4 linked regions of the Arabidopsis thaliana genome follow. The protein of the gene in region 4 interacts with the protein of the main gene of each other region in a biochemical or structural test. Each region holds a gene or a part of one and is shown on either strand. Other genes may lie near its edges.

The links.
Region 1: the proteins of TTL3 (region 4) and SAP5 form a complex in vitro, tested with the Arabidopsis thaliana proteins (one study listed by BioGRID).
Region 2: the proteins of TTL3 (region 4) and AT4G37110 form a complex in vitro, tested with the Arabidopsis thaliana proteins (one study listed by BioGRID).
Region 3: the proteins of TTL3 (region 4) and AT2G29340 form a complex in vitro, tested with the Arabidopsis thaliana proteins (one study listed by BioGRID).

The regions. Positions count from the first base shown.
Region 1 is NC_003074.8:4,008,357-4,015,288, reverse strand, and holds SAP5 (A20/AN1-like zinc finger family protein), read right to left. Parts: upstream 2,682-6,932; 5' UTR 2,583-2,681; coding exon 2,100-2,582; 3' UTR 1,706-2,099; downstream 1-1,705. Other genes in the region: AT3G12640 (RNA binding (RRM/RBD/RNP motifs) family protein), read right to left, coding at 1-337, 419-519, 700-834; AT3G12620 (Protein phosphatase 2C family protein), read left to right, coding at 4,296-4,620, 4,710-5,077, 5,228-5,464, 5,552-5,779. UniProt on the Arabidopsis thaliana protein: May be involved in environmental stress response.
Region 2 is NC_003075.7:17,479,875-17,488,176, forward strand, and holds AT4G37110 (Zinc-finger domain of monoamine-oxidase A repressor R1), read right to left. Parts: upstream 6,527-8,302; 5' UTR 6,324-6,526; coding exon 6,043-6,323; exon of another isoform or gene 5,917-6,042; coding exon 5,878-5,916; exon of another isoform or gene 5,777-5,877; coding exon of another isoform or gene 5,742-5,776; coding exon 5,502-5,741; intron 5,412-5,501; coding exon 5,325-5,411; intron 5,180-5,324; coding exon 5,050-5,179; intron 4,946-5,049; coding exon 4,469-4,945; 3' UTR 4,156-4,468; downstream 1-4,155. Other genes in the region: AT4G37100 (Pyridoxal phosphate (PLP)-dependent transferases superfamily protein), read right to left, coding at 1-1,989; SMP2 (Pre-mRNA splicing Prp18-interacting factor), read left to right, coding at 6,805-6,820, 7,071-7,234, 7,326-7,852, 7,945-8,080, 8,175-8,302.
Region 3 is NC_003071.7:12,594,362-12,602,258, forward strand, and holds AT2G29340 (NAD-dependent epimerase/dehydratase family protein), read left to right. Parts: upstream 1-2,753; 5' UTR 2,754-2,769; coding exon 2,770-2,834; intron 2,835-2,940; coding exon 2,941-3,148; intron 3,149-3,234; coding exon 3,235-3,451; intron 3,452-3,548; coding exon 3,549-3,655; coding exon of another isoform or gene 3,656-3,667; exon of another isoform or gene 3,668-3,753; coding exon 3,754-3,939; coding exon of another isoform or gene 3,940-3,945; exon of another isoform or gene 3,946-4,507; coding exon 4,508-4,648; 3' UTR 4,649-4,935; downstream 4,936-7,897. Other genes in the region: TRI (tropinone reductase), read left to right, coding at 243-307, 419-626, 715-931, 1,443-1,549, 1,650-1,835; SAG13 (senescence-associated gene 13), read left to right, coding at 6,675-6,763, 6,869-7,076, 7,173-7,389, 7,468-7,574, 7,673-7,861.
Region 4 is NC_003071.7:17,724,358-17,733,682, forward strand, and holds TTL3 (tetratricopetide-repeat thioredoxin-like 3), read left to right. Parts: upstream 1-4,121; 5' UTR 4,122-4,497; coding exon 4,498-5,396; intron 5,397-5,483; coding exon 5,484-5,679; intron 5,680-5,759; coding exon 5,760-5,944; intron 5,945-6,032; coding exon 6,033-6,366; intron 6,367-6,447; coding exon 6,448-6,649; intron 6,650-6,732; coding exon 6,733-6,839; intron 6,840-6,951; coding exon 6,952-7,104; 3' UTR 7,105-7,479; downstream 7,480-9,325. Other genes in the region: GRF9 (general regulatory factor 9), read right to left, coding at 7,807-7,910, 8,198-8,346, 8,440-8,549, 8,647-8,734, 8,812-9,118. UniProt on the Arabidopsis thaliana protein: Involved in osmotic and salt stress tolerance. May play a role in the control of meristematic cell size during osmotic stress. May function as an adapter protein for BRL2 and may be required for signaling affecting leaf vascular tissue pattern formation.

The sequences.
Region 1 (6,932 bases), on a different chromosome or scaffold from region 4:
GTCGTCAGTTCTAGACCTTTTCCTCTGAGATTGAGCCTGCGGAGATGGAGACCTTTTATTATGTCGGTGTTTATGATCTTTCTTCTCGTAGTTATGAATTTTGTGAACCTCAGAGCTCAGAAGAGGAGGGATCTCAGAGACATTAGTCGGCTGGCTTCTCCATTGTCTACCACGACGTGCACCATTTGATTTATCAGATCGTCCCTTATCATATTCAGAATCCAGAGGAACAAGTGCTTTATCCTCATGACTGCTTATCAATGAGCTTTTTATGGTAGTTCCCTCCACATTAGAACTAAAGTACTCATCTACACTTTCAGCCAGATGATCCCACAACCTGCATATATCCTCCTAGTGAATATGAATTTCTAAAAAAGCAATAAACTTTGTTACACAAAGATAAGAAATATATAAATACCAGGCCACAAAAGAGTCGCTATCATCTCCAAGAAATATCTTCAATTCATTATTTGCTTCCTCTTTTCTTCTCCCATTTCTAAGCAAGACGATCACATATTCCTGCAAGCAAAAGACTTTGTTGTCATTTGAATTCTAAAGAGACTTCTTAGCACCACAATAAGAACAACTAAAGTTCAATTCCAAAACTCAGCAATTCTAGCTACAAGGAACACGAATAATAAACCCCAAAAGCGGATATTCCAATTTTCTGAAAAAGATGGAGAATCGATAAAATCGTACCACAAGAATGTCATCCGTGTAATCGCCCATATACTCCTTGAGTTTATCCTTGACCATCTCTTTCAACTTAGCAACTCCTTCCACACTGAAATCACCGTTAAAGGTCCGATCATCGACTAGATCGGCGCTTCCCATCTTCACTGAAAATTCCTTTACGAGATTATTATCAAAGACCTTAACTTGTTGCCACCGCAATGAGAGAGCCCAAGGAATCAACAAATTGGAATATATATATACACGCCACTAAAACCCTAACCTATGCACGATTCAATTCGAGAACGGATAGAATTAAGGAGCTTCAAGGTGGTGGTACTAGGGTTTGGGTTTCTGTCGGAGAAATCCAGAAAGCAGCAACCCAGACGATTGAAATCCTGATTAATGTCTAAGGGACGGAACAAATTAGATATGAAAAGCCTCTCTGAATTTCTTTTAATTATAAACGGTGCGTTTTGTGTTTCAATTTAAAACAACACATTTATATTTTCACTATTGGGTTGGGCCTAATTAGGTGCTCCAACTTTTAGTTTTTTTTTCTGACTTTTTTTTTTTCCGTCAGTTTTTTTTTTCTGACTAGAGTTATAAATAATCATAGTTGCATGAAAGTACAGTATTTTGTTGCAATTTTTAGATGACAATTGAAAATTGTCCCAATGAACTTACTTTTTTACACATTTTATTAAGTAGATATAACTATAGTCTGGCTACAATGATAGTTGCATGAAAGAACAGTATTTTGTTGGACTTTTAAGATATATGCAAGATATTTTTGTATGCGTTGAAAATAATTCACATAAAAAACTCGTAGAATGAGTAAGCTCATGTTAATATTATTAAAAGAAAACAAAAGTCTAATGTATAGTTTAATATGTTATGCTTTAAAATATACAAATCTATAAAAATAATGGAACACAAGAAGATGATAACCCATACAAACTCAAACACGTTATTGGCTTTGCTATTTTATACGCCAAGCAAACTTGTCTGATAGAAATTGGCTTTGTGAGTTGTGACGCACAATGGACTAGTAGTATCGTGATAAGTACATCTACCACACGAAACGAAACGAAACCAGAAAGACATGTTCCTAAATTACCAAACAACCCCTTCGTCTCTTACATACACCATTTCTCGATGATCAAGAAGCAAATTCATGAATCCGTAAGCCACACAATAATAATATTAATAATCATTCACTAATATATAAATTAAAAGATGAAAAAAAAACGTAAAAAAAAAAATTGAGGTTCAGATTTTGATTTGAGGAGAGGAATAATCTCTCTGATCTTCTTTTACAACACATCACCAAATCAAATCCATGTCTCTCCGACCAATCTCTCTTCCGATCGGAGCTTTTGAACCACCACAAGTTTTTCAACGGTTGAGATCGAATTTTTAATTTTTTAAACTTTGACCATTTTCGCAGCCTTGACCACCGGATTTTCTCTAGCGATCGCCTCACGACCAGCGGTTTTGTAGTCGTAGCTACAATCATGACGATCGGAGTAACGGTGCTCTGAGCAGAAAAGCTCACCGCATCGGCACCTGAATCCGGTCAACCCAACTTTCTTCCGACAACCAGAACATCGGTTTACGATCTGTTGATCTCTCTTCTTCACCGCATCGATCTCTCTTGGACGAATCACGACTTTAGCTGGTGACGAACGAAGATTGACAGATCTAGCCGATCTCTTCAAGATCGAACCTGATTCAACAACACCTGCGGCCGCCGAGACGAGAGATGCGTTGAAACATTTCTGACACATGTTGTTCGTCGCAGGATTCGCTGTAACGCCGCAGTTATTGGTACATAACGTCGTTGTTGTTGTCGTCAAGGTTTCGAGAACTTTGAACTCGGTCTCTTCCTTCTCCGTTCTCTGAGCCATCGTCTTATTGAATCTCCCTGCTCCTCCGGCGAGTTTACGGATCGATTATGAGGAGAGAGAGATAGAGAGGTAGAGAGAGGTAAGAATGGAATATGGGCCTCATAGAGAGACGCGTTTCCATCTCTCTTATCATCTCTCCTTCCACCATCCCCACTTTCTCGTCTTCTGGTGGATTTACGTTAATACCCTCATCGCTTTTTTGGAATTACCAGAGAGGATTAAATATGCATTTCAATGATTCTAGAATGGCTTATGACGCCATACAGCGGACAACAACATGTTTCTCTTTCTCACATTTTTGCTTTTTTGGGTGTATTTTCTGATTTTTCTTTGAGTATACTCTAATTTATTAGTATCATGACTTTTATAAACTGAGATATCAAAGAAGGGTGAGGAAAATCGCTGGAATATGGGCCAACTTGTTTATTTATGTTTCTCTCCCAACAAAAAAATCACCAAAGAAAAGTAATACCATAATCATATATATATCTAGAGGTGTTATTGTGTTAACTAGTTTCGAACACCTGTATGTTTATGTTTGGTTCGACTTCGGACATGTTAGATTTTTATTTTTTACTTTAGGGAAAAACAAAAAGAAAGAGATTTTGGGGGTTAAAACTGTCACACAAAAAAAACGACCTGTGAGGTTGTAAAGCTACGCGTACAACATGTCAACATGCCAATTTGCAGACTTTATTTTTTTTCCATGTTTTTGCGTTAATCAGTAGTATTTTATTTGCTCTTTGGCTTGGAGGTTGAAGCTTTAATGGTCTTATTTTCCTGACCATATTCAACAAGACAACAACCCAGAAGGTGGATTGTATTTCGCGAAATGTTTCTACTTTTTTCTTATATAGATAATGGGATGATGAATTAAAATTGAAATTAATCTCTACAGCATGTAAGAAAATTCGAATATTTTAGTCATTTGATTTTGATAAGTCAAATGAACTAACCATAATTCAACTAGCAGTGGAAAACTTCAAATTTGTTCCTTCAATCAATCGGCTGATGAATCATCAGTATCATTGGACAAAACTAGGAATTGGTGATCAGGTGATACTTTTGATATTTGCATATATTTGATTTCATTCAGATTATGGAAAATGTAAATAAAAATCTATTTATTATAGTAATATTTTAATAAAATTAGTAATCTTGAAAAATGGAGAAACGTAGCTAACTATGGGAGAAAAAGCTGCCTAAAACGTCGGGTTGTTTCTGAGGTCAATGCCTAAACAGCTAAACTCGAAAACCAAATGACAACAAAAAAGCATCAAAAAAAAAAGAAAAAAAAAAAGAGAGAAAAATAAGAGAAATCGAACCCCCAAATAAGGAATTCTGACAGAGTCGCCTGCTAGATTTGTTTTCTTTCTCTCTCGTCATCTCTCTTCCTCTCTGTAATCCCAACCGGAGTTACGATTCCTTCTTATCGTAACTCCTGCTTCCGATCTCGATCCAATTTTCACTTTTGTTTTGTCCGAACGGTAAATCATTTCGCGGCTTTTTTTTTTTAAGGTAATTGATCTCGATCCTTGAAGAAAATTCGTAATTGTATATGCGCGACAAATGTGTATTGATGCATTCGTATTGGTGTATTGTTTAGGGAAGGAGGAATAAGCAAATTTTGATTTGATTCCGTTTTTTTGGGGGTGTTAGTGATCTTTTAGATGAAGTAAAGAAATTTTGATTATTGAGGGGATTATGTGAGTTATGGTATCATCGGCAACTATATTGCGGATGGTAGCACCATGTTGGAGGCGACCTTCTGTTAAAGGAGATCATTCTACTAGAGACGCTAATGGTCGATGTGATGGTCTTCTTTGGTATAAAGATTCTGGTAACCATGTTGCTGGAGAGTTCTCTATGTCTGTTATTCAAGCTAATAATCTTCTCGAAGATCATAGCAAGCTTGAGTCTGGACCTGTTAGTATGTTTGATTCTGGTCCTCAAGCTACTTTTGTTGGTGTTTATGATGGTCATGGTGGTCCTGAAGCTGCCCGTTTCGTTAATAAACACCTCTTCGACAACATCAGGAGTACGTTGTTTCCTTCTTTTTTGTTATATTTGATATGTGTGTGTTTGGGACTATCTATGTTCTAAGTTGGTGACATTTTCTGATTGCAGAGTTTACATCAGAGAATCATGGAATGTCTGCCAATGTTATAACTAAAGCGTTTTTAGCTACGGAAGAAGATTTTCTTTCTCTTGTCCGGCGGCAGTGGCAGATTAAACCACAGATTGCTTCTGTTGGAGCTTGTTGTCTGGTAGGGATCATATGTAGTGGATTGTTGTATATTGCAAACGCTGGAGATTCTCGGGTTGTGCTAGGAAGACTGGAAAAAGCGTTTAAAATTGTCAAGGCCGTTCAGTTATCGTCTGAGCATAATGCAAGTCTTGAATCTGTGAGAGAGGAGTTGCGCTCGTTGCATCCAAATGATCCTCAGATTGTGGTCTTGAAGCACAAAGTTTGGCGTGTCAAAGGTATTATACAGGTAAAAATACTTTCACGGTAATGCGAGTTGCTGACTTCTAGACTCTTTTCTTGCAAGTAGCTTGACTGTGAAAGATACAACTAAGTAAGCCCTATGCATGTATAAGAAGAGGATTTTTCGCTAGATATAACCCGTGGCTGGTTCTTGAAGGTTTCACGGTCGATTGGTGATGCATACTTAAAGAAAGCAGAATTCAACCGGGAACCATTGTTGGCAAAGTTCAGGGTCCCTGAGGTTTTCCATAAGCCCATCCTTAGAGCAGAGCCGGCAATTACAGTACACAAAATCCATCCAGAAGATCAGTTTCTTATATTTGCATCAGACGGCTTGTGGGAGCACTTGTCCAATCAAGAAGCTGTTGACATTGTGAACACATGCCCGCGCAATGTAAGATTGCCACTTGCTCTTTCTTACTCTCTCTCGTTTTATGTGCAAATAGATAGAAAGATTGATTGAGAACATGTGGGTATGCAGGGGATTGCAAGGAAGCTCATAAAAACAGCTCTAAGAGAGGCAGCAAAGAAGAGAGAGATGAGATATTCGGATCTAAAAAAGATCGATAGAGGAGTGCGGAGACATTTTCATGATGATATAACAGTCATAGTTGTGTTTCTTGATTCACATCTCGTCAGTCGCAGTACCTCACGCCGACCTCTCCTCTCCATCTCAGGTGGTGGTGATTTAGCTGGACCTTCTACTTGACTCTACTCTCACCACATCTATATATATCTTATATATACATTATCCACTATATATAAAAACACATTGCAAAACGCAATTCAAGTTCCTTCTTTTTTTTTTTCTCTATATATAAAAATTTCCTCTTAACTCTGTTTTTTATTCATCCCAAAAAAAAATGAAGAGTTGAAATCCAATGTATAGGTCTTTTGGCAAACTGAGTTTATTATGGATAATATAAAGAGATATCACTTGTTGGAAAGATTTCTACTACTGACTACCTCCATCTACCACTTTTTGCTTATGTTGTCATTTTTAGTGTATATACAAAAACATAAGCGAATGTGTAATTGATGCAGTAGAGACCGATACTGCTACAAGTTCGTCTTTTATGTCAAAGACAAAACAACATTGCTTTTCATGGCCTAAGAATTCAAAAGATCTTGTCAGTCACAAATTAAAGTTACCTTAAATATAATTGACTACAGTTCTCAGTAAAAAAATCATCCGACTATAGTTCCAAAATATTTAGAATAGTTATCTAAAAGACCTTGAAAGATCACGAATAATTCACGCAATAGTAAATCGAAATGAAAACAAAATAATCTAATGATCCATATGTTCGCACATGCATTTCATCGAATTTGAATTCATTTGGAGATATGGCGACAAAACTAACATTTTACAAATGGATTACTGTATATTGTTGTTATGATTGAAATTATGTTTTGGTTATGAGCAAGGACATGGAAATTTTTTACTAATACTAAAATAAATAAATAAAGACAGCTCCAGGAAATGGGATCTTGACCCCTGAGCATGTGATGGGCGTTGAATCATGTCCTAACCAAGACAACGCGACTGAAAATCATAAATGCTGGAATAAGCTCTAATGATTTTGATCATAATATTATTTCTTCAACAAGATTATATGTGAATTAGTTAGAAACAAATGTTATATGTCAAATATTATAATTAAACTAATTAAATCAAATGTAAGGATTTTTAACAACGATACGTTTGGGATAAGAAATTAGGGAAGGAAAACAAAAAAATCAAAGTTTGGACTTTGGACAGAGAGATGCTTAGTTAAATGCTTCTGTAGTTCTGTAGTAGGACCACATGAGTCACATGTAAAAGTATTTATGGAGGACCAACCATATTTGGTTTATTAAAT
Region 2 (8,302 bases), on a different chromosome or scaffold from region 4:
TTCCATGTTAAATGAAACCCGTCTTCCTTTGCTCGGATGTTCATCCTCTACACCCAACAACCTGCTTCTACCACCATCTCTTCCTCCCAATAACCTGAATTCTCCTTCTGTTTCTCGTCTAATAGCACTCTCTTTGATTTCTGATGAAATGTTGGAAGATTTCAAGCCATTTGCAAAGCTATGACCACAGTTTTCTTCCTGTATCTCTTGAACATGGAGATGGTTACTAGAGCTCCTCCTATTCCGCGATGGAGTCGAGTTTGTCCCGTGCTCTGTAACTGACATAACGGCAGCATCAAACGAGAGGACGTCGTTACCATCATACAATGGACTGCTGTAACTCTTCGGTATTGGTTTAGGCGACTGTCGTTGTTTCTGTTTTCTCTTGTTGGTTAACCAAATTGGTGGCAGTGGAGATGCAATCTTATTATGCTGATCAGAACCAAGAGGACTTTGACCCAAATCAATCCAAAACGAATTGTCGGATGACTCATCTTCACTAAAAACCGGACTTTTCATGAGTTCTCCAACCGAAACACTTTCTGTTTCTTCAAAAATTGTGGTGCTAGTAGTTCCATCTCTATCAGAAGATATGTTATCTTCTAGGAGCTCTGTTTCAAACACATCCCTCACTTGTGCTGAAGTGTATGCACCTGAGAAAGCTGGCATCTGAGTTCCTGGACGATGAGCTTCTTTGGTTTTATCGTCATTGTGATCTTCAAAACCAACCAATCCGTCAAGACCATCTACTGAATCACTGAGATATAACGGATATTCAGGCGTGATCTTCACTATACCTGATCCAGTTTTCCCTGATTGACTCTGAAGGCTTCCCATAACTGATTTTTTAATCAACAGGCAACCAAATCCTGTCGGGTCATGACCAAATACACGGTAGAACGAGGTAATGATAAACTCAGGCCGGAACAATGACAAACCAAGCGAATCCATATCTTTGGGACCTAAAGAACCAGCATCAAGCAACACATGCCAATGGTTCTGCTGAGCTAAAGCCATCCACTGGTAAGAATACTTAGTACCCGTAACACGAGACTGAGCAGGAAACACAAACAACCCAACCGCGGAATCCTTCTTCTTCCTCTTCTTATAAGACAACCGTTTCTTCAAATCAGTCGAACAAAGCTTCAAAGTAGGCCATTTAAACCAAGCATTATAAGCCTTTGCGCCTTTCTCCCTCGCTGTCTGCGCCATCCAATTCACAGACTGGCTCTCGTGATCAAACATTGTCAAAAGCCGCTTATTCGACTGAAAAGGATAAGATTCCGCTAACAATCTAAAAGCAGAGCCTCTACTAACTGTGAAAACAAGACCATACTCATTCTCAGGGATGTTCAAATAGTCCATAATCCTAGTTTTAATATCATGTTCCACAGTTCCACTCTCAGCTCCACCGTAAAGCGCATGGTTACTCAAATTGGCAGTTATCTCAGAGAGACTAAACGTACAAGTATCCCAATAGTGCAGAGTCTGAACATAAGAGAAGAGACCAAATCCACAGTAATCAAGACATACCTTAGAAGCTGATGATGATAAGTGACTATACTCATCAGATCTTAACTGATCAATCTTCTCAGAAGCTTGATACTTTGGGTACATGCTCAGAAACTTGGTCAAAGCTTCACGGAGCTCAGGAATTGAGTCTTCTGATTCGATAATACGTTCAGCTGCTAAAGCAGTGGCGCGTAGAAACTCACGCTGCGCGTGAAGTCTAGCTAAGGATCTGGAACGACCCAAGCTTCCATCTCCATTATCTTGGTCAATGTCTTGGGATTTGAAGAGTGAGCCATTCTCAGAAGCTTCTTCTAAAGCTTCCCTGAGCTTATCTTCATACAATTTCCGAATCAGTGCAGCTTTTTTCTTGACATTGAGAGACGAATCAGACCCATCTCTTCTTCTCCTGCTGCTCTTACTCTTGTCTAAGATCAGAGAAGCACAGTGATGAATTTGCTTCCACAGAGAGAAATGCATTTCAAAAAAAACAAAAGATTTAGGAGATTCGGCGAAAAGGGTTTGTTTTTAAGCTCATTATAAAACCCTAGAAGTAACGAACTAGGGAAGAACTTGAAGCAGATCAAAGAAGAGAGAGCTCAAAAATGGAAACTTTGAGAGAAAACAAAAAAAAAGTTTAGAGCTTTAGGCAAGAGAGTGAAGAAACGAAATTGACGGAAGAAGAAGGAGAAGAAAGTAAAAGGAGCAGAAATTCAACAAACAAAAGTACGAGAAAGAAGAAAAACACACAAGGAAGAAGGAATCCAAGAAGAGTCAAAAGGAGCTCAAACCCTAGGACCAGTCTAGAGTCTCTCTCAGGAGAGAAAGGAAAAATAAAATAAATTAATAAAGAAATAAAGCAAAAGGGAAAAAAAAAAACAGATCCCAAAATTTTGCATAGAAATTAAGAAACCACTCTCTTAAGTTATGTATAAGAGCAATCAATTTAATCAATTTTATTAAAGGAAGTGTCTTTGAATAAAAAAGCAAAGGTGACCCCTTTCACCACCAATCTCTCATTTCATTTACTACTACAATGGCTTCTCTCTCTTCTTCTTTAGACACTGTTGAAGAAAAAGGCATTGACTTTAACAACAATATCCAGAAAGAAGCAAAGTGGTGGTTCTTCATGAGCTAATACAATAATGTATGGTAATGGTGGTTATCAATTATTCAATTCCTCTAATCATATTCTATTATATGGCTAAGGTTTTTAAGTCAAATAACACAGAAGAAAAAAAACTTGGAAATAAGTCAAATAACATAAAAAGACATATTAAGGGGGAATATTAACATAGCATATACTATTTGACATTTATTTTATTTTATTCTGAATACAAGACAAAAAAAAAATGGCAGAGGAAAACACAATGTTTGTCTTCTTTTATCGTCCCCCGAAAGAAACGCATTAACTAGTCAACTCTTGCTATTGCGGAATTTTTAAGGATATATCAAAGACCATTTCTCTTTAACTCTTCTCCAAAGTCCAACAAATGATGAGAAGAAAAAAATGATGTCCACAGGAAGATGATAATTCAAAACTTTTCACTAATTTAATAATTTACTATACAATTGTATATTTATTAATATTTTATGTTTACTATATGAATAAAGTAAAAATAATACTAAATCAGACAGTTGGTTGAAACAGACGAAATATATATGCCTACATAAATGTAATGTTGGGTTGTGGGGATACTTTTGCCTACTTTGGACTCCATAGTCCATAGTCCATATACAAAACACAATAACATTATTATTTTGGTAGCATTAACAAAAAATATATATATAAATAACAATTTTGCAGCATTAAGGAAACAATATGGCCAACTTAAAAAAAAAAAAAAAAAAAAAAAAAAAAAAAAAAAAAAACAGGTTGGTAGTTGGTACACACCATTAGACTCAATGACCAACCACAACATTGGTGGGGATAGTCTTGACTTAAAAAAAAAAGAAATGCAGACTAACTACGATAGAGATCTTTATTAATGCAGTAGTATAGTAAGTTCATCGATAGAGGGTATTGTTTAATATGCATGGAACACAATGTGTTATTGGTAAAATAAAATGCTGTCTGTCTTTTCTTATAGAAGAAACTTAAAATCGAATAATAGTTTTAGTTTAGTTACTCAAGTATTTGTATGGTTTTAAATTCTTTGTCCTTTTCAATGAGTCAAAGTATGTGTAATGCTTTCATTCTCCTTTTTTGTGTTTATTGGACGACAAACTAGAATTATTATTCTGGTGTATTAAAGGTACTCATATGTCTCAACGAATAATTTACTTTTAAGATTTTAAATATACATATTTTCATATAACTTGAGAATTACTCGAGTCATATCATTGTGGTACAGTGGTACCGTACGAGTAGTAAAGGTATAGCTCCTAAAATTTCAAATTTGAATTGTGGTTTAAGTATAATCGAATACAATGCAAATTGCAAAGTTGTATTAGTTTGAAGTTAAGCATTAGAGATTCCAGAATATAGTTAAAAGTGTAAAGAGGGATTTTAAATTAAATGACGGAAACAAAAAGTACTTTAGTTACTTTGTACCTGAAGGTTGATGTAGTCATGTAACACAAATTTTGCATACATTAAAGTGTAAAACTAATTCAAAGAAATTGACTAATTTCATCCACAAATTTCTTTCTCGATTAGGCTTTTTGGATATTGAAAAGATAAAACCAAATAATCTTGAGGTGTAGAAAGATTGACTCGATTTTCAGATCGGTTTGGTTTTGGTTTAGGCAAATTCTTTAACCGTTCAACTGGAATCCATTACATCAGATCACCAACAGCAACAAAACACAAAATTTGAAAAGCCGTCAAGTTCTTACATGATCCATGCCTACTCCGATAGAAAAATGGAAAAGAAAAAAAAGATCTTCCATTTGTTTAGCCTTAGAGTACGTACATGCAGCAAAAGCATAGTTTCTCTTCTGAAACTTCTTCTCTCACTCAAGCTTGAATCTTACGACGCTGTCTCAGTCTTCCACCAATACTATTTGGGTTTGGTTCAGCAGACATCTTTCGCTTGCTTCTTGTTTCTCGGTTCTCTTTGTTTGCAGAGTTAGCCATCCTCTCAGTTTCACTGCACTGAGCCTCAAGATCGATGATCACAGGAGTTGCTGGATCCACCTCTTTCACATCTAATGGCTTGAGATCACCATCAGTCACTGAAGTTTGGTTGTTCCCAGACGACAAGAAGCATAATGACTTTCTAGCTGAATCCGGATTCTTGTTTGAGCCATCATCATCATCGAGATTTTCGTCAATTTGATTGTCCTGAATCCCATCAGTTATGAGAAGGAGATGATCTCCTTCTGAAGCTTGACTATCTGCAGGAGCATCAGTTTCATCATCCTCACTTGTTTCTGACTGTTGGTTGGTTTGAATCAGATAATGTGCAACAGACTTATACCCGAGTTTATGTATCTGAGAACAAAAGAAATTCAAAGGGAAAGCCATTAACTTTTGAATCTATCCAAGGACTCAAAATCAGAATTTTCACCATGGATCATACTAATCGAAATAGCTACCTTCCTGTAAGCTGCACCAGTTGGGAGCCACCCTTTTTTTGTACGACAGAAACTGCAGTTGCAGATATCGCGACAGACTGGACAAATCCAGTCCGGATTTTCCAGAGCTTCAAGAACATGTTCTCCATATCTGTTCAATCACCAAAACATAACCTAAAACATTCAGTTCCAATCCTCATTTTGCTGAGCAAAGCAAGCTACTCAATTCCCAGTTGATTCTCACAAAAGGAATTACTCAAAAACACAGAAACAAAGAAGGTTGGAGGCTAATGTACCTCATGTATAAACAATCTCCACAGAATTGACCTCGAACAGAATGGTTACACTGGCTGCATTGGGTATGATAACCTAGCGTCTTCTGCCTGTAAAATCCACAGTAACCATTAAACACATTAGCCTCAATCCTAACCGAATCAAACTACATCTTCAGAGATAAAGCCAAGTGTACAAACCTGCACTGGTGGCAACACTTTCCTCTAACAGGGTCATAAATCCGTTTCCCATTTTTGTCACAACCATCAACAAAAAGCTCCCAAGTTCGTTCTGTGTTACCTAACAGTTTCTCATGCTCCTCAGTGTAAATCTCTGGCCTTACGCCTTCTCCTACCCACAAAACAATCTCTTCTTTAGACACTTTACCCTTCTTCAGTTCAGGTTCCTCTGCGTAGGAAACTGGTGTAGCGTTCTTCAATCTAAAGACCACAACAGAGAAGGCAATAAAAATCATTACTTTCTATTAAAAATCCTAGCTTCCTGTTAAACCCTTGATTTTGAACAGAATCCAAAGAACGAAACGAGAACCACAGAGATTGAATACGAAGAGATTACCTCGAGGATCTCCGAGAAACTGGCGGCTCCTGCTTCAATCTGATTATAAAACAGCGAAATGATTTCTCTAAAAACCCTAGATTTCTCTAAAACCCCTAATTTTGGAAGATTGAAGCAATGTGAACAAAATCGAGAGAAGTCAGTGACTGAAAACGAAGAGATTACCTTGAGGATCGTCTAGAGGAGACGGAAAGCTGAATAGGAGATGTTTCTCGACCCGGATTGGCATTAGAGTTACCGTAACGCCTTTTGGCGGGTCGGATCTCGGATTTGAGTTTGAGAGAGAGATCCATGATTCCGAGATTCTTCATCCTCTGAAGATTCTCCTTGATCCTGTCTTCTCTGCATTTCTCGTAGATCGAGACGTTTGAGTTTCCTCCTCCGACTGTTGGATTAGGGTTTGTGACGGGAATCGAACATTTCGCTCTCGTTCTCACCACAGGCATTGTGAGAGATTGATGAACTGATTTTGGATTCAAAGTTCCAATCTTTCCCTCTTTCTCTCTTTGGATCTCTGGATAAGAAGAAGAAATGAAAGATTTTTTTTTAACTTTTTAAGTGAGTGAAGCGGAACAGCAACGGTCTGGTTTTTTTACTCTTTTTAAAATTCAAAACATTTTTCACCTTTTTAGGTAAATGTGCTTAATTTGCCAACTAATGAAAACGTTGATTGGTTTGTCAAATGGAAATCATATTTATTATCTATCATACATCTGTAAATTTATTTTTCTTAAAGGGCCTTTAGGCTTTAATAACGGCCCATAAAAAATCCCAAATTGTACTACGAAGAAGAATAAGCCGCCATTCTTTATCTTTCCATTCCTTCCTGGAGATTACGCATTAATATATTTAGATCTTAGGTCTTATTAGCTTCTTTATTCGCACTTTTTTTTTTCCTCTACTCGAAGCTTAACGATCGTAACAATCATGGCGACGGCTTCAGGTACCATGATTCCTTCAATTTCTTCTTCTAATACTTTAACCTAATTCTCGATTTCTCTGTTAATTCCCGTTGATGATTAAGAATCTCGCTTCTGATATCTTCTTCTTTCTTTAAATCTATATATTAGTAAATTAGGGTTTTTACTAGTTTTGCTATTGGCTAGATTCATTTTGGCTAAATTCTGGCAAAATTGATTTTATTTTTAATGTTTGAATGTTGTTCTGATATATGTTTTCTATGGGATCTGCAGTTGCTTTTAAGTCTAGGGAAGATCACAGGAAGAAATTAGAATTAGAGGAAGCTCGTAAAGCTGGTCTCGCTCCTGCTGAGGTAGACGAAGATGGCAAAGAAATCAATCCTCACATACCTGAGTATATGTCAAAAGCTCCATGGTATCTCAAGTCTGAACAGCCGGTATATGCGAAAATTCTTCTTTCTCTTGCTTCTCTGCATTGTCTTGGTTGAGAACATTCACACTCATACTCTGTGATTTTTTTTTGTACAGAGTTTGAAGCATCAAAAAAATTGGAAAATTGAACCCGAACCCAAAAAGATATGGTATGATAGAGGTAAAAAGATCTATCAAGCTGAACAATACCGCAAGGGAGCGTGTATAAACTGTGGTGCAATGACTCACAGTTCTAAAGCATGTATGGATAGACCTCGTAAGATTGGAGCTAAATACACAAACATGAACATTGCTGCTGATGAGAAAATCGAGAGTTTTGAACTTGACTATGATGGGAAGAGGGACAGATGGAACGGTTATGATACTTCAACCTACCGTCATGTGGTAGATCGTTATGATGCTAAAGAGGAGGCACGAAAGAAGTATCTCAAGGAGCAGCAACTTAAGAAACTAGAGGAGAAGAACAATAATGAAAACGGTGATGATGCAACCAGTGATGGGGAGGAAGACCTTGACGACTTGAGGGTCGATGAAGCTAAGGTTGATGAGAGTAGGCAAATGGATTTTGCAAAGGTTGAGAAACGTGTTCGAACAACTGGTGGTGGTAGCACAGGAACTGTTAGGTATGGACTACTCTTCATCAAACATGATAACATAAGTTTAAATTGGTGTTTCTACTTGATGCACTAATGGTGTTACCTTTTCTTAATTTCAGGAATCTGCGTATCAGAGAAGACACTGCTAAATACCTGTTGAATCTTGATGTAAACTCAGCTCATTATGACCCTAAAACTCGGTCCATGCGTGAAGATCCACTTCCAGATGCAGATCCAAATGAAAAATTCTATTTGGTTAGTTTGTGATCATCGTGAATCATGTAGTTGTATCTTATATTTTGATGATATGAGAATACTAACTTTTTTTTTCTTCTTATCATCTATCCAGGGAGATAATCAATATAGAAACAGTGGCCAAGCTCTGGAGTTCAAACAGATAAACATCCATTCATGTGAAGCATTTGACAAGGGACATGACATGCATATGCAAGCGGCTCCATCCCAAGCTGAATTGCT
Region 3 (7,897 bases), 5.1 Mb from region 4:
CGTGAACAGTAGTCTTTCAGTAGTCTTTTAATTTGCGAGTGAAGTTAATGAAAAAAATACAAAATGGTAAGTTTTGGTCAAGATTTTGACTATTAAAATTAATATTTGCTCTTGACCACTAAGTATATTTTTGTCATCTCTTTATTATGGCTAAAAATTGACACTTATCTAATACTCATTCATTGGATATATATATATAATGTGTAGCATTTCTGGTCAGTGAAAATTGACATACAAGGACTATGGATAAAAGGTGGAGTCTCCAAGGTTTGACTGCTCTTGTGACCGGTGGAGCCAGCGGAATCGGGTTCGTCTAGATTCTCACTATATCAACTCTTTTACCCATTGTTCTGTTTCTAAAATTCATTCTAAATTGTTAAAGTTTTAAGGAGTTTTATTATGTTTATCGAATGTTTAGTCATGCTATAGTAGAAGAACTCGCCGGTTTTGGGGCCAAAATCCATGTGTGTGACATATCGAAAACTCTGCTCAATCAAAGTTTATCCGAATGGGAGAAGAAAGGGTTTCAAGTGAGTGGTTCAGTCTGCGATGCATCCAATCGTCTCGAAAGAGAAACACTTATGCAAACTGTCACCACAATATTTGATGGCAAGCTTAACATTCTTGTAAGTTAATCTTAATTTAAAGAAACTAAGCATATCTTTAAGCTATTTAGAAATGACATGAATATATACTCTTTTCTGTTCAATATAGGTGAACAATGTTGGCACAATTCGCACAAAGCCAACAATAGAATATGAGGCAGAAGATTTTTCGTTCCTTATTTCAACAAACTTGGAATCTGCTTATCATCTAAGCCAACTTTCACATCCACTCCTAAAGGCTTCAGGCAACGGAATTATTACTTTTATTTCCTCTGCTGCAGGGATCGTATCATTTGATGCTGCATCCATTTATGGTCTAACGAAAGGTAACCATAGTGAAAAGTTTAATACTAGAGGAAGTTCATTGCAAGAATGACCAAATAGTATTGTGGATTTATATATGTTTCATTATGTATATTATATATTTGATTAGGATAATTTTCAATCCCATTTAATAATTTCAAATGATATTTGAGAAGAATTGTTTTTTTTTTTTTTTTGTGCGTGAAATCTTATTTTAGTGTGCTATGCTAACATTTTTGGTTTCAGAAATATATAATTCAGAAGGTCAAATATAGGGCATTCATATTCAATAACATACAAAAACAAAACTAATTTATAACTATGCATGTTATTTATGGATAATAAATCTTTTTATTTTTATTTAGATGGTTCATAAATATCGCATTATGTCTCCGAAAGCTGATTCTAACGGCTAATTGATTGCCCTAGTATCATTCGTTTCTATTTCTAAATTGGTCTATCTTTCTTTGGGAATCCTAATAGATGTCTCTCATAGTCATAGTATTATTTTTTCTTGTTTGTGTATATGTTCAGGAGCTTTGAATCAGCTAGCACGAAATTTGGCGTGTGAATGGGCAAAAGACGGCATTCGAGCCAACGCGGTTGCGCCTAATTTTATCACCACTGCTCTGGCTAAACCTGTAACCAATACACCCTCTCTTTTTTTTCTTTTTTTTCCTTTTAAAATTAACATCATCACCCACTCTTATTCTTGTTTTTTACAATCTTGTAAACATTCAGTTTCTCGAAGACGCTGGTTTTAACGAGATTTTGTCGAGTAGAACTCCACTTGGTCGCGCTGGAGAACCAAGAGAGGTTGCCTCACTTGTGGCTTTTCTGTGTCTACCTGCTGCTTCATATATTACTGGTCAGACCATTTGTGTTGATGGAGGTCTCACTGTTAATGGCTTCTCATATCAGCCATAGGCTTGAGCCATGTCTTGTCTTGTCTTGTGTGTTGTGGAGTATGGTCATATGGTCAGTATCTCCATAATCTAAATCCATAGATATGTGAGTTGTGGAGTAGACACAATTTTTCAATAATGGAATATCTATTTACCAGTTCCGTATTATGCATGCATTCTCCATGACAACGCTTCTCATAACGAATATAATTACGTGGATCATAATACTATGAGGATTGATATCATTGAGATGGAGTAGACACAGTTATTTTCTTCTTCCCTTGCCATTAGCAATTTCAATTGTATCTATGCTTGAAATACTTAAATGGCATTTACTTCTTAACTAAAAAGCGAAAGGAGGGAAAGAACAAGTCATTACAAGATACTATAATAATTAGAAATTAAAAGAGTATAATTACATCTTCCCAAATGTGTCAAATATTCAGCAAAAACTCTGTCAATAGAAATGAACAAACGGTATTTTAAAGTAATACAATGGGTAAACTTTAGATATTTTGTAAAAACCTAATTAGAAAAAAAATTTGGAAATCTTAGTTGAAGATAACTACCCAAATTATGAAAAAAAAAACATTTGCCTTCTTGTTACCTAACTAACACGTTGAATGTTTTACAAAAATTTTGTTCACCAGTCTAACTGACTTGTCGTTTCAGTTGTCATCTTTTGAATGAAATTAATGGAAAAGAAAGAAACAAAAATGAGTAAGTTTAGATCAAGATTTTGACTATTAAAAGTCATATTTGCTCTTGACCACTGACTTGTATATTTTGTCATGTTATTTATTATGGCTAATATATCCACCACACATACAAACATACTCATTAATTGACCCTTATCTTTTATTTTTATGGTAAGAAAATTGACACTTATCTAATACTCACTAGGTGTGTATATATAATGTAGCATTTCTGGTCATTGAAAGTAACTTACAAGCAAAATGGACAAAAGATGGAGTCTCAAAGGTATGACTGCTCTTGTGACCGGTGGAGCCAGTGGAATCGGGTTCGTCTTTCTTCTCTGTTCTCTCTATGTCATCTATTTTACCCATTGGTCTGAATCTGTTTGAACATTAAGATTTGAAGTAGTTTATGTTTCTGGAATGTTTTAGTTATGCCATAGTAGAAGAGTTGGCTGGTTTTGGAGCTAGAATCCATGTATGTGACATCTCTGAAGCTAAGCTCAATCAAAGTTTAAGCGAATGGGAAAAGAAAGGTTTTCAAGTAAGTGGCTCAGTTTGTGATGTAGCCTCTCGTCCCGAGAGAGAAGAACTGATGCAAACCGTCTCCTCGCAGTTCGATGGCAAACTCAACATTCTTGTAAGTAAATTAATTTAAAGATACTATCAAGTTAATCATATTCGTGGGGGAAATCTTTTAAAGACCAATTTTTTCAACATGCATAGGTAAGCAATGTGGGCGTAATCCGCTCAAAGCCAACAACAGAATATACCGAAGACGATTTCGCTTTTCATATATCATCAAACGTGGAAGCTGCTTACCATTTTAGCCAGCTTTCACATCCTCTCCTAAAGGCTTCAGGCTATGGAAGCATCATCTTTGTTTCCTCTATTGCAGGGGTTATATCTTTTGACGCTGGATCCATTTATGGTCTAACAAAAGGTAGCCAGAGACAGAGTTTTTAGTAGATGGATAGTGTTCATTGCAAGACTGACTAATAAATCTTTTATGTTCTATGTTTTGTTGATTTATTATCCAGGAGCTTTGATTCAGCTAGCTAAAAATTTGGCATGTGAATGGGCAAAAGACGGCATAAGAGCCAACGCTGTTGCGCCTAATGTCATCAATACTCCTCTGTCTCAATCTGTAATAAACTAACAACTTTTTCTTTTCTTTTTTTATGTGAATGTAACAACGATTTTATGTGAATTAATCTAACCCTCTCTTAATTGTGTTTCTGCAAGTATCTTGAGGACGTCAGTTTCAAGAAGGCATTGTTGAGTAGGACTCCACTTGGTCGTGTTGGAGAGCCAAATGAAGTTGCATCACTAGTGGCCTTCTTGTGTCTACCTGCAGCTTCTTATATTACTGGTCAGACTATTTGTGTTGATGGAGGTCTCACCGTTAATGGCTTCTCCTATCAGCCAGAGGTTTGAGTATGGTCATGTCTCGTTCTTTTTGTTTGTCTAGAATTTTCAGTGTTCTCTCAAATAAAATATTTCAAACTATGAGTATATGAATAAAAAAATAAATATATCATAATTACATTATGGATATACTTACAATGTATCTCTCATACATGAAAATGTTCTATTCCATCTTGTGTTTACTACTAACTTACTAAGTGAAAAGAAGACTCTGTTTTTATGCTCTGTTTTGTTGTAAACCGGTAGACTTAGAAAAGTTGGGACCTCATAGTTGAACCCAAAATAACAAAAGTGAATTTCAAAACTAGCATATATATAATAGAGACTCAAAATAAAGCAATCACAGAGAGATAAACCCAAAATTCAATGGATGGCAACGAGAAAACCTTTTGTGACCAACTACATGATACATTGATATACCATTTTATGACATACTATTAATTAATAAATGCTGTGGTGTGCCCATACCGGATTCATATAAATGTTTATACGACTGCATAGCATTTCCACTACAGTTTAAACTCTACCACCCAAATACCAATTTTTTTTTTTTTTTGACATTGGTTTCAAGGAGGCATTGTTGAGTAGAACTTCACTTCGTCGCGTTGGAGAGCCGAATGAAGTTTCATCACTAGTGGTCTTCTTGTGTCTCCCTGCAGCTTCATATATTACTGGTCAAATGGTCAAACCATTTGTATTGATGGAGGTCTAACTGTTAATGGCTTCACCTATCAGCCACAGGCTTGAGAATGGTCATGTCGCGTTCTGTTTGTTTGTCATGAATTCTCAGTGTTCTCTTAAATCAAATCTCTCACACTATGAGTATATGAACAAAATCATATACAATATCACAATTCCATTATGGATATTCTCCCAATCTATCTCTCATACATGAAAATGTTCTATTTCGATCTTGTATTTAAATAATGTTAATACTCTGTTTTAATTTGTGTATCCTGATTTTTTTTTCTTTTTGAAGTTCAACAAATATATCAAAATAACTCAGAACCATTACTATTTTTTCTTAGTTCATCAATTCTTTACTACACATAGAAACGTATTTATCTTGTTTGATCTACTTTGACTCTATATATGTCATGTGGCATCTCTGGTCATTGCTAGTCACAGGTAAAAGTAAAAATTGATCAAAGATAAAGAGTCTTTCATGGTAAAAATTCTCTTGTAACTGGTGGAGATAGTAGATGTCAATTCGTTTGCAATAACTTACATTTGCAATAACATGTCAGCCATATTTATTTAAATTTCCATGCATTTGATATTATTTTCTCTCTAATACATATATGATGTGTTACGGTCATTCTAAAAATCCAGTTGACAGCATAATGAAGCTGGTACACCATACATGCACTTGATTATATATGGATGTTACTGCCATGATTGATGTTTTGATGGAATTAGTGTTAAAGGATGGACCCTCACTAACGCGGTTGGAAATTATGATCAAACTCTTCAATGTCACTTATCAAGAGAGCTAATGACTAGCACGTTTAGTTGTTCTGTTGTTTCTTATGGCTGCTTAATGTCTCCATCAAATATTTAGACATTGTGGCTAGTAAAATGCCATCTACCTTAATCCTATATATAAGTATAACTAGATAATAATCCATATTTTTGCTGGGTTTAGTAGCTGATACGACGTTTATGGTTGTTATTGAGTTTGAATACAAAATATAGAGTATTGTTGGAGTTATATTGATTTTTGTTCATATTAGTTAACAAATAATAAAAAAATTAAGAAAGGTTTTTGAAAATGCATCTTCTAGAATATATGTATATTCGAAAAAGTCACATCTTTAATTGACATATGTTTTGTTTGTTTGTTTTTTTTACTGGCCACACAAATTGACAACAATGGTCATGCATGAAATGAAATGTTTGTTGTCAATTTTTTTTACTAACTTGTAATATCATTATGAAATGAAATAGAAGGTATATATTACAAAATATTACCTAAAAGTAGAGCAATCTTAGAAAAAAAAAAAAAAAAAAAAAAAAAAGAAAAAGAAAAAGAAACAAGATTACAATGCATTTAAAAAGAGATGGAAAGAATCCGAGCTATCGAATCCAAAGAAGCATCAGCTTCCTCCATCTGTTCTTGTATCGTCTACCAGAGATGGTGTTCCGGATCTCTCGATCAATATTCTTAAAGATGGTTGTTGGAGGGATCCTTTGGCTATTATGGAGAACATTATTCGTTTATCTCCAGATGTGATAGACAAAGGGCTGTGTGGCCTGTGAGACCGATGGCCACTTAATTATTGGTTTTTTGTCAATGGTTGTGTATGCATAGAAATTCCCACAACCGTTTGTGGCTTAACACAATTTACCAGGGGTTTAAGTGGTTAAATTGATACATGTAGATCTAAAGTTTTATGCTAATATAAATTAGTTTTAATTATATAAATTTTAACTACGCTCATGACACGTAAATGGTAGACCAATATGTGGTGCTCTATTAACTAAGGGGTCTTCATTATTAATTCATAAAGACTTTCTTTACTATACAAGACTTGTCAAAAGGAAAAGTAGTATTTTCGTACTACGTCTACCCCTCTCACGGATATGTGTGGTCGAGCAGTCATTATCATAATGTGGAATTTTGAATTGAGCGAGGTTTCAAAGTTCAAAACTATCACAACTAGTCTTGATCAATTCTATATAAGATCTGTGATCTTGGTTGAAGAAAAGAATCGTCGTAGGTTGATATTTAACAAGGAATGGCAAAGGAAGGGGGCTTGGGAGAGAACTCAAGATGGAGTCTTGGAGGCATGACCGCTCTTGTCACTGGTGGCTCTAAAGGCATCGGGTCAGTCCCCATTGTGAATCTTGACTCCCATTTTCTATGCTCTTTTATTGTATTGTCATGTTTAGTTATGGAAGAACTAACTCTGTTTGTGTGTGTCATGAATAGGGAAGCTGTGGTGGAGGAACTAGCCATGTTGGGAGCAAAAGTCCACACGTGTGCCAGAGACGAAACTCAGCTTCAAGAACGCTTACGTGAATGGCAAGCAAAAGGGTTTCAGGTCACCACTTCTGTCTGCGACGTCTCTTCTCGTGACCAACGAGTGAAACTCATGGAAACTGTTTCCTCTCTCTACCAAGGAAAACTCAACATCCTCGTAAGTATACATATATAAGCTTCGTCCTCCTCGGTATTGGGATCCACAAGAACCCAATTATGTTGTGTTTTTTGTTGTGGATCTATACATATGTAGGTCAACAATGTGGGAACGTCAATATTCAAGCCGACCACAGAGTATACAGCAGAAGATTTCTCTTTTGTAATGGCTACAAATCTCGAGTCAGCTTTCCATCTCTCACAGCTTGCCCACCCATTGTTAAAAGCCTCTGGCTCAGGGAGCATCGTGCTCATATCCTCTGCTGCTGGAGTCGTGCATGTCAATGTTGGATCCATCTATGGAGCAACCAAAGGTACCGTATATAAGTACATCCTTAACACAATATGTTCCCATGGGTTATGATGCTTACACATATATTAACTCGTTTTAGGAGCCATGAATCAGCTGGCTAGAAACTTAGCTTGCGAATGGGCGAGCGACAACATAAGGACGAACTCTGTTTGTCCTTGGTATATCACAACTCCTTTAAGTAACGATGTAAGGCCAAAGTTTATATTTCTCCTTCGTACTATGAAAAACAAAAAAAATACGTAAATATGACTTCGGGCTTTAATTTATGTGTGAAAATCTCTTAGTTTTTCGATGAAGAGTTTAAGAAAGAAGCGGTGCGTACGACACCAATGGGGCGTGTTGGAGAAGCAAATGAAGTCTCACCGCTTGTGGCATTTCTTTGTCTTCCTTCAGCTTCTTATATTACTGGTCAGACCATTTGCGTTGACGGCGGTGCCACTGTTAACGGTTTTTCCTTCAAGACTATGCCATAAAACACATATGCATGTGTTTGGATCATATTTTCAATA
Region 4 (9,325 bases):
TTTCAACTAGATGAAACAAAAGCAGAAACATATGAGGAATACCAAAGATTTTTTCTCTACTGGAAACGACAAAAGGTTCATATTATCATATATAGAGTATTGGAAAATGTTAGCTCTTGTGATTACTAATTAGTCGTAAGGTATTAAGAATACATATTGCCAACAGTGAACTGAAGAAACTAGTGAACCCACACAAAAAAAATATAGTTCAACTTTTCTTTTGTTAAAAAGTTTCAAACGTTATTTTCTAGTTTTAAAACGTCATTTACCAAACTCTACATAATTGCATTAAATCAAAAGGTATGCGTATAGTTTTACCCTTACCCTTCAAAATTTGAGACATGGTGCATGTGGAATGTTTTGCACAGCACACATACACTCCCTCATTTACGAAAAGTTCATCAATTATTTTCTATTTTATTTTAAAACATTTTCAAAGAAAACAAGTAACATACTTACAAATAAATATATTAGTTTTACTCCCTTTTATTAGAAAATTAAGTTTTGTAACTAAAAGTGATGGTATTTTGATAACAGATTATAAAGAAATCTCAAATTTATTAAGCTTTTTCCAATAATAGCTACTACGATTATTTATCTTACTAGCTAGTACTATTAAAAAAAAAAATCTCTTAATTAGTACATGAATAGGTATTCCAATATACCTTTAGATTTCAATTATGTATTGTTTTAAATTTTAAAGAGTGGTAATATGAAATAAATTAAATTGTTGATGGAGATGATGATGAAGGTAAAGAAGATTCATATCATATCAGCATATGCTCACATGATAGAGCATCTAACCTCAGGTGGCAACAAATAACATCATGGCAATATATAATTGATCTATTAAATTTAGTTATACATACGGATATGATCAATTATCCAAACATGCAGCTGTTTTTCTAATTTTAAAGATATTTCTTTTCTCAAACTACATGAGTCTACAGTTCTTATAACTTGGCTTCTATATATAATCTGAAAGCCATCATCATACATCCATTGGCCAAAGACTAGACCAAAAGTATTACCACCAACGTTTTTGGTCACGTACCAGTTTTAGAATTTAGATGAACTATTTCACTCTAAAGCAAAGTACTTGTTTACTTTAGAAAATTAGAGTAAACGAATGTTAACTTAAAAAAATTTCGGGTTGACAAAAATAAAATGCGAGTTGGACGGTAATGCGATCTACATATATTCTTTGCTTGGACTGACATTATGATCTTAATAATTTGTAAATAAAAATTAAAATAATATTGATGAAACATAGGATACCCTTAACTAAGAATCATAGTGGTTAAGACAAGCGTGGATTAGCTTTTAGTAAACTGATTAATCGAATAATAAAGAAAACCAGATAATTTTCTTACGTTTTTGTATATATAATCAAGAATCATGGAGATACACATAGATAAGAAAGATTATAGCACGAACACGAATGCATGTATTAGGCAATAAAAATATCGTTAGTTAGAAAACAGTACATATATAAATAATTCGTGTAGTATTTTGACTAAGGAATTGTCTTAATAGAATTAAGCAGTTACAAAGTTTTATTTACACAAATATTTTTTCCTCTCGGCACACCTTGAATCAAATCAAGCATCGTTTAAATTAAATTACTGTAATGGATTAGATAAGTACTAGTAATAAGTAAAGTATGTTTGCCGACGGGTGAAATTGTAAAAAAGATTGGATACTTTCTTTTGTTTGATATGAAACTCGAATCTCGTGATTAAAAAGATGGCCCGACAGTGATTTAATGAGAGTCAACAAAAAAGATGTAAAACACATTATTAGCAACTAATTGTACTTTATTTTTATAATTTTCACACGTTTCCTCTTTTGTCTATTTTGATTGGGGTCATTCATGCTCAAACATTACAGCCTGCGCATTGTATTATGTTTTGTATGTCTCCGGCGGAACAAACAATGTGACATGCGTTTGAATAATCAGTCTAATTGTATGATTGGTGTGTTCATTCGCTATTAATGCAAATGGTGTCCAAATTATTAAATTTTGAGTTAAATCCGTGGAGAAATAATATTCCTTTCATTTTAAAGCAAGTGTCGTTTTAGACTGATTTTTTTTATTTATGTCGTTTATGAATTAAGATAATAAAGAAGTATTAATAAAAATGTGAGACATAAATATATAATTCTGAAAGCCAATCTTATCTTCAAATGCACATTTCACTTATACGTATTCAGTATTCTGCCATTCAACAAACCCATAATTTATTTTGTCTATGGTAAAAAAAACGCATATAGTCAGTCATATTAGAATTATTTTACGAATGTAATTTTTATTGCTACTTATCATGTATGCTTAAGTGAAAATAGTGAGTCACTATCGTCATTCGTCACCCATCTCATGCTTGGCGTTGGCGGGCTCGAGGTCAGTTTTCGAATAATCCGTCGGTGTTAACAGAATAATCCGTTATTGAAAAACTAAACGCCGTTAACGGAAACTGTGTGCTTAGCTGGCAGACACAGCAGAGAAGTCAATAACCAGCTGGCATGATCACCGTTTTGCAATTATCCCCATAATTACCGCAACACCCTTCTATTTTTTTATCCTTTTTTTTCTTTAATTAGTATTTACTATTTATTATCGTTATGTTCTTAATTATCCTATTATTGTTTTAAATATTTTTATATAGCGAAATAATTTATTTAAGAAAAAGTCAAGAGAAAATTAATTGACTATATATGGAAAATAATTTGAGGGTGCGAGGCATGACCTAGCTAGAGAAAAATAAAATAAAATGAAGGCATGCATGGTGCTTGGTTCAATGTAATTAGTGGTTCCGTAGGTCTGAACGGTACGGACTGGCCATGATCTACTAGAAACAGTAAATAGTTAATACAAAGTAATTAATTATGAGTTTCAGCAAATTAACTACTCTATATCGAATGAATTAAACAGTAATCCCCAGAAAAGAAAAAAAGAGAACTATGACAGCCTTTTCAAAGGACACCCGAAAACCAAAATGAAGATTTTAAAAATGCCAGCTCTGCAATAGATATTGAACTTTCATTTGTAATTTTCTTTATTTTTGTTGCATTACACACATTTGTTATTTACATTTAAATTGGCTATTGCAATAAAAGATTACTTTATATGCTTATAATAGTACAATATATATGGTGGCTTAAACAAAAGTTTGGCTGGCTTGATAAATACATCTTACATCGAATGACGATTTTACCCTCTATCTTGCTGTCTCTGAGTACGAGGGTTGAAATCCTTACGTGGCATTTTTTCTCATTTTTCTTGGTCAAATAGTTTAACCAAACTCCAAAAGTCTGTGATTTGTTGACATACTTCTAACTAATTTTTTTTTATAATAAAAATCTATTGTATCTGTAGAAATAATCATTAGATTTACTTTCTAGAATATAACTTCTTATTTCTTAGTAATTTGTCCAGATTTTTTTTTACAACTAACTAAACACTAGTTAAAATGTTAATGTCTAAAAAATACCATTACAATTATTCAATTTAATAAAAATTGAGTCGGCCAATTTAATGCGAGACTTCTGTACAACGACCCTAAAAGTGGGTTTGATAAATGAAACATATTGCAACAAAAAAATACTAGTAATAATGATAAAATAGTAACATGTCGTGGCGCATTGAATATCCTACGAAGGTTTAGTGTTTACTTTTAAAAAATCCTAATATGATACTAGTACATATAGCTAGCTTGCCTTGCTTATGCTATTGCATAGTCTGTATTAATAAATGATGTTATACATTTCGATAGAGTAACATTTTGGGAACATGAGTGAACGTGCTTGAATCTTCGTGCCCTTGACGTCAGAAGCTAGTAATTTTAAATACTAATTAACATTCATACAAATTAACAGATACAATGTACTATATCATAATTCGTTTCCGTAACACAACGCAACAATTTGAAAGTAGATGTACTTTAGTACTTAGTTAGTGTGCACCAAAAAAAAAAGATGTAGTTAGTTAGTAAGGGGTTAAATGTTTTAATTTATTAAGAAAACTTAAATTCATTAAATGTTAGAAAAAGTCTAATTAGTTTATATTCGAACACTGTGCTCAAAATTAAAAAGTCAACTATTTTAGACTATAGAGTTTATTAATTAATAATAAATTCGATAAATCACCGTATTATTTTCTTCAACGACAAGTAGCCGTGAAGACACGGGAGCGAAGAGAGATAAACAGAAGATGAAGAAGAAGATCAATGTCATAATCTTCAGGGAGATAAATCCGTAATCTTTATTAATCAAGGTTAATCCTTTTTTTTTTCTTCATCTTAATTCTTTGCGTCTTCCTTTTCTATTTATCACGAGATCTGTCTTTCTTTTTCCTCTTCTTTCTCTCTCTTCTCTCTGAAGACAGTACTTGTTTCTGTCCGGCGTTAAAAGCTTCGGTGGTGGTCTCTTGACTTCTCTGAGAAGAAGAAAAGGAAGCTGAGTCTCATTTTAGATTCAGCTCACGAGGAAGTGACGACGATGTCTCATTCTAGAAGACTTTCGTTGGAACCTGCTATAGATTCAATCACTGGTCGATTTCGTGATTTACAGAGAAATGATGATGACGTCAACAAACCTGATTTTCGAGAACTCGATCTAGGTTCTCCTGTTTCTACCTTAATGCCACGTGGCTCTGCTTCTTCTTCCGCTGCTGCGACTCCTACTAGCAGCTCTGGCTCTTCTGGCTCTGCTTCTGGTAAACCGTCGGTGAGTTCTCAGATGGCTAAACGGTTAGATGATGCTTACAAGAGTCATTCCGGTGAGCTTTCTAGCCCCGGATCCGGAATGCCGACCACGACCCGGATTCTTAAACCGGGTCATAGAAGATCTTCTTCTACTGGCACGCCTTTGATCTTCTCTGGCTCTAGCTTTACTTCAGCAACGAGTCACACCTCGCCACAAGGAGGTGGTAGCGGTGCTACGTCGGCAGTGTCTCCCAATACTGGCGTTTTACCGGCGGGAAATATTTGTCCGTCGGGTCGGATCTTGAAAACTGGAATGGCGTCTCGGACTTCAAGTAGGACTGAGACTCTATGCACAGGAACTGGTAATTACGGACATGGAAACGTTGTACGCAGCGGCGGAGGAGGAGGAACCAGCGGAAAGGCGGTGAGAGTGGCGGAGAATGGCGAAAACCCGGAGGAGTTGAAGAGAATGGGGAATGATATGTATAGGAGAGGGAGTTTCTCTGAAGCTCTGTCGCTTTATGACAGAGCAATTTTGATTTCACCGGGAAATGCAGCTTACAGAAGCAACCGTGCCGCGGCTTTAACGGCATTGAGGCGGTTAGGAGAAGCCGTTAAAGAATGTCTTGAAGCTGTTAGGATTGATCCTTCTTACTCCAGAGCTCACCAAAGACTTGCTTCTCTCTATCTCAGGTAATCTTGAGAGGCTTTTTGTTTTGTTGCTGTGTTTTTAGTTTAAAGATTGAGAATTTGAAATGATGGAGTGAATTGTTGCTTTAGATTGGGTGAAGCTGAGAATGCAAGACGTCACATTTGTTTTTCTGGTCAATGTCCGGATCAAGCTGATCTCCAACGGCTACAGACGCTGGAGAAGCATCTCCGACGATGCTGGGAGGCTCGAAAGATTGGAGATTGGAAAACCGCGATTAAGGAAACCGATGCAGCCATTGCAAACGGCGCTGATTCGTCTCCTCAGGTGATTACATATCATTGTCGTATGATATGCTTGTAAAGATTTTTGACTAACAGTGAGGTTTTTTCTATTGGTTTGGACAGCTTGTAGCTTGTAAAGCAGAAGCCTTTTTGCGTCTTAAGCAAATAGAGGATTCGGATTTTTGTGTATCTTGCATTCCAAGATTGGATCATCATTACCATTCTCAACCGCAGGTGAAACTCTTTGGTATGGTAGTTGAAGCTTATGTGCTCTGTATCCAAGCTCAAGTTGATATGGCATTAGGAAGGTGAGCTTTCGAAACTCAGAAATGTTGTGATTCTTTGGATTTTTGTTTCTCCACCGGTGAGTGAGTAGATATGATAGGTTTGTTGCAGATTTGAGAATGCGGTTGTCAAGGCAGAGAGAGCTGCGATGCTTGATCAAACCAATCCTGAGGTTGTATCAGTTTTAAACAATGTGAAGATGGTTGTGCGGGCACGTACTCGTGGTAATGAGCTATTTAGTTCGGGGAGATTCTCGGAAGCGTGTGTAGCTTATGGAGACGGTCTCAAGCAAGATGACTCCAATTCGGTTTTGTACTGCAACAGAGCAGCGTGTTGGTATAAGCTCGGTTTGTGGGAGAAATCTGTTGAAGATTGTAACCATGCGCTCAAAAGCCAGCCTAGTTACATCAAGGCACTTCTACGTAGGGCTGCTTCATATGGAAAGGTGAGATTAGAACTTACTATAATCAGTTATTGACAGAATTTTGCAGTGTATTCGAATGACAATGTGTGTTGAAATATATAGCTTGGTAGGTGGGAGGATGCGGTTAAAGATTATGAGTTCTTGAGAAGAGAACTTCCAGGAGACAGTGAAGTTGCAGAGTCTCTAGAGAGAGCGAAAACAGTGCTAATGAACAGAAGCCAAGAATCTAAAAGCCTAGGTTTCAATAATGAAGTTGAAGCGGTTTCGACTTTGGATAAGTTCAAGAAATCCGTAGCACTTCCCGGTAAGTCTAATGAGAAACTTCAATTTGTCTCAAAAGGTTGAGATTTTGCGTGTCTTGCTCAAGTTGGAAACATTTCTCTTCAGGTGTCTCTGTATTTCATTTCAAATCATCATCAAACCGACAATGCGAAGAAATTTCTCCATTCATCAACACTTTATGTCTTCGGTATCCATTAGTACATTTCTTTATGGTAAGAACAAGAACACATTCCAAATATGCTTTTTATATCACATTTTCTTCTAAACTTATATGTATAACCTATGTTTCTCAATGTGTTAACTGAGAAAATGAAATGTTATTAGGTGGATGTGGAGGAGAGCATGGCGTTGGCGAAAGCAGAGAGTATCAGGAAAGTTCCGACATTTAAGATGTACAAGAATGGAGATAAAGTGAAGGAGATGGTTTGTCCTAGCCATCAGTTTCTAGAGGACTCTATAAAGCATTTCCTCTTATGATTGAAAAAGCCCTATCATCATTATCTGCTTCCCTATGATTCGATCCGAATAGCCTATTTAAAAGACTCAGAAAGCATTCTATGTGAAAGATGGGAAAGAGCTCTTCTGTCAAATTCAACAAACTATTCATTCTTTCTTCTTATTCGATTCTAATTCTTCTTTATTTATTTTTTGGAGTTTGGCTCTGCTTGCTTTGGCATATTACGTATGGGTAAATGTTCGCAATGATTCAAGAAATGCAAGCTTCATTATCTATTTACGCTTGGCTTGTGTATGCTAGATTATTCACCACACCAGTGAAAGAAACTGAACAGAGTTTACTGTATTTGGTGTTGTTGATTCAATCAGTGACAGAATATGAATCAGAGAGTACCGAATCCAATCAGCTTCTATCTCAGCAATTCAGAAATGAAGGAATATAAGTTTCAAGATTGGATCCATAAGGATAGATAGTAAGACGACAGTAGTGAATTACAAATAAGAGTGTCCTGAGACAGGCATGCAATACATTCAAACCAGAGAGACATTTAGGGCTAAACCAGAGTACAAGTAACATAGACAATCATGATATAGGGAACAGAGAAACTCTACTTTTCACTATTATTCACCGCACATTCAGTTCTTGAAACATATTGTCCAGGTGCACACATATCATATCACTGCAACATAAGCAAAGAAATCTTGAATCAAAATCGGCTTATTTTAATTTGATTTACCCCGAGTAAAGGAATCTCTTATACTTACCTCTGCATCGTCTCCACCAGCACCAGGTTTGGCAGAACCATTCGTCTTATGAGCATCGTCTCCTGCACACAAATGCAAAATTAACAGTTGAAGTCCAAGTGAAAATATATATTGATAAAAACTGGCAATCGTCTTCCAGATGCTATTTCAACTATCTATCATCAAGAATGTCCATGGATATGCTTAAATTGTCTTATAGATTCATTGGTTTCAAGTAAATCAACACTACACATAAGAAATGACAATGAACAAATACACCTAGAATGGAAAAACACCAAAGAGCAATTGTGTAAGACATCAAAACATCATATTTAAAGAGTGTGCTTAGGTCCAGAGTGATGATCATTACCTCCTTCTTCTGAGATGTCAGAAGTCCACAAGGTCAGATTGTCCCTAAGGAGTTGCATTATTAAGGTGCTATCTTTGTAGGATTCCTCGTTCAGAGTGTCAAGCTCTGAGATAGCTTCATCGAACGCCTGCTTAGCAAGGTGACATGCCCTGAAGAGAAAAGAGCAAGAAAAAAAAATCTCAAATCTCCAAAACAATGAGTCTTTTTTCTTATCTTAGTAGTATAATTAACAATCTGTAAACCTTTCAGGTGCGTTCATGATCTCGTAGTAGAAGACAGAGAAATTCAAAGCCAAACCCAATCTGATAGGGTGTGTTGGAGGGAGCTTAGCCTCAGCAGCAGTAGTAGCAATCTGTAAAGGAAAGAAACAAACAAAAACTCAAAAGTAAAGTAACGAAAAACCAAGAATGTCCAGTGATCAATAACACTACAAATCACTATAAGAACACCTCATAGGCTTTCAAAGACTGATCAGCAGCCTCTTTCCTCTCGTTCCCTGATTTGAACTCAGCAAGATAGCGGTAATAGTCACCTTTCCTACAAAAACCAAAACAAAATCTTCAGACACACAACCTTAAGTTAAACACCATGTAAAGAAGCATTATAGAGCTTACATCTTGTTGAAGAAGACAGTAGATTCACCCTCGGAAGCCGAAGGAATGAGATGCTCATCTAAGACAGACATAATATCAATGCATATGTTAGAAAGCTCTAACTCAACCTTCTCCATATACTCTTTGATCCTCTTTACATTAACATCATTCCCTTTCACTGCTTCCTTTTGTTCAATCGACGAGAAGATCCTCCACGAAGCTCTCCTTGAACCAATCACGTTCTTGTAACCCACAGAGAGTAAGTTCCTCTCTTCCACCGTCAGATCAACATTCAATTTCGCAACACTTTTCATTGATTCCACCATTTCTGTGAAAAAAAGAATTCACATTTTTCAATACCCATCTGCTAAAAATCAAGACTTTTGAATCTAATTCCTTGATAAGAAGTTCCCCATTCGTAAACTCTCAATCAAACCAAACGATTGAAACCCGTTCGATGATATCAAAGTCCAGTAAAATCAAACAGAAATCGAGCTCAAGAAGCTATCAAAAAGACCTGATTCGAGTGAGAAGA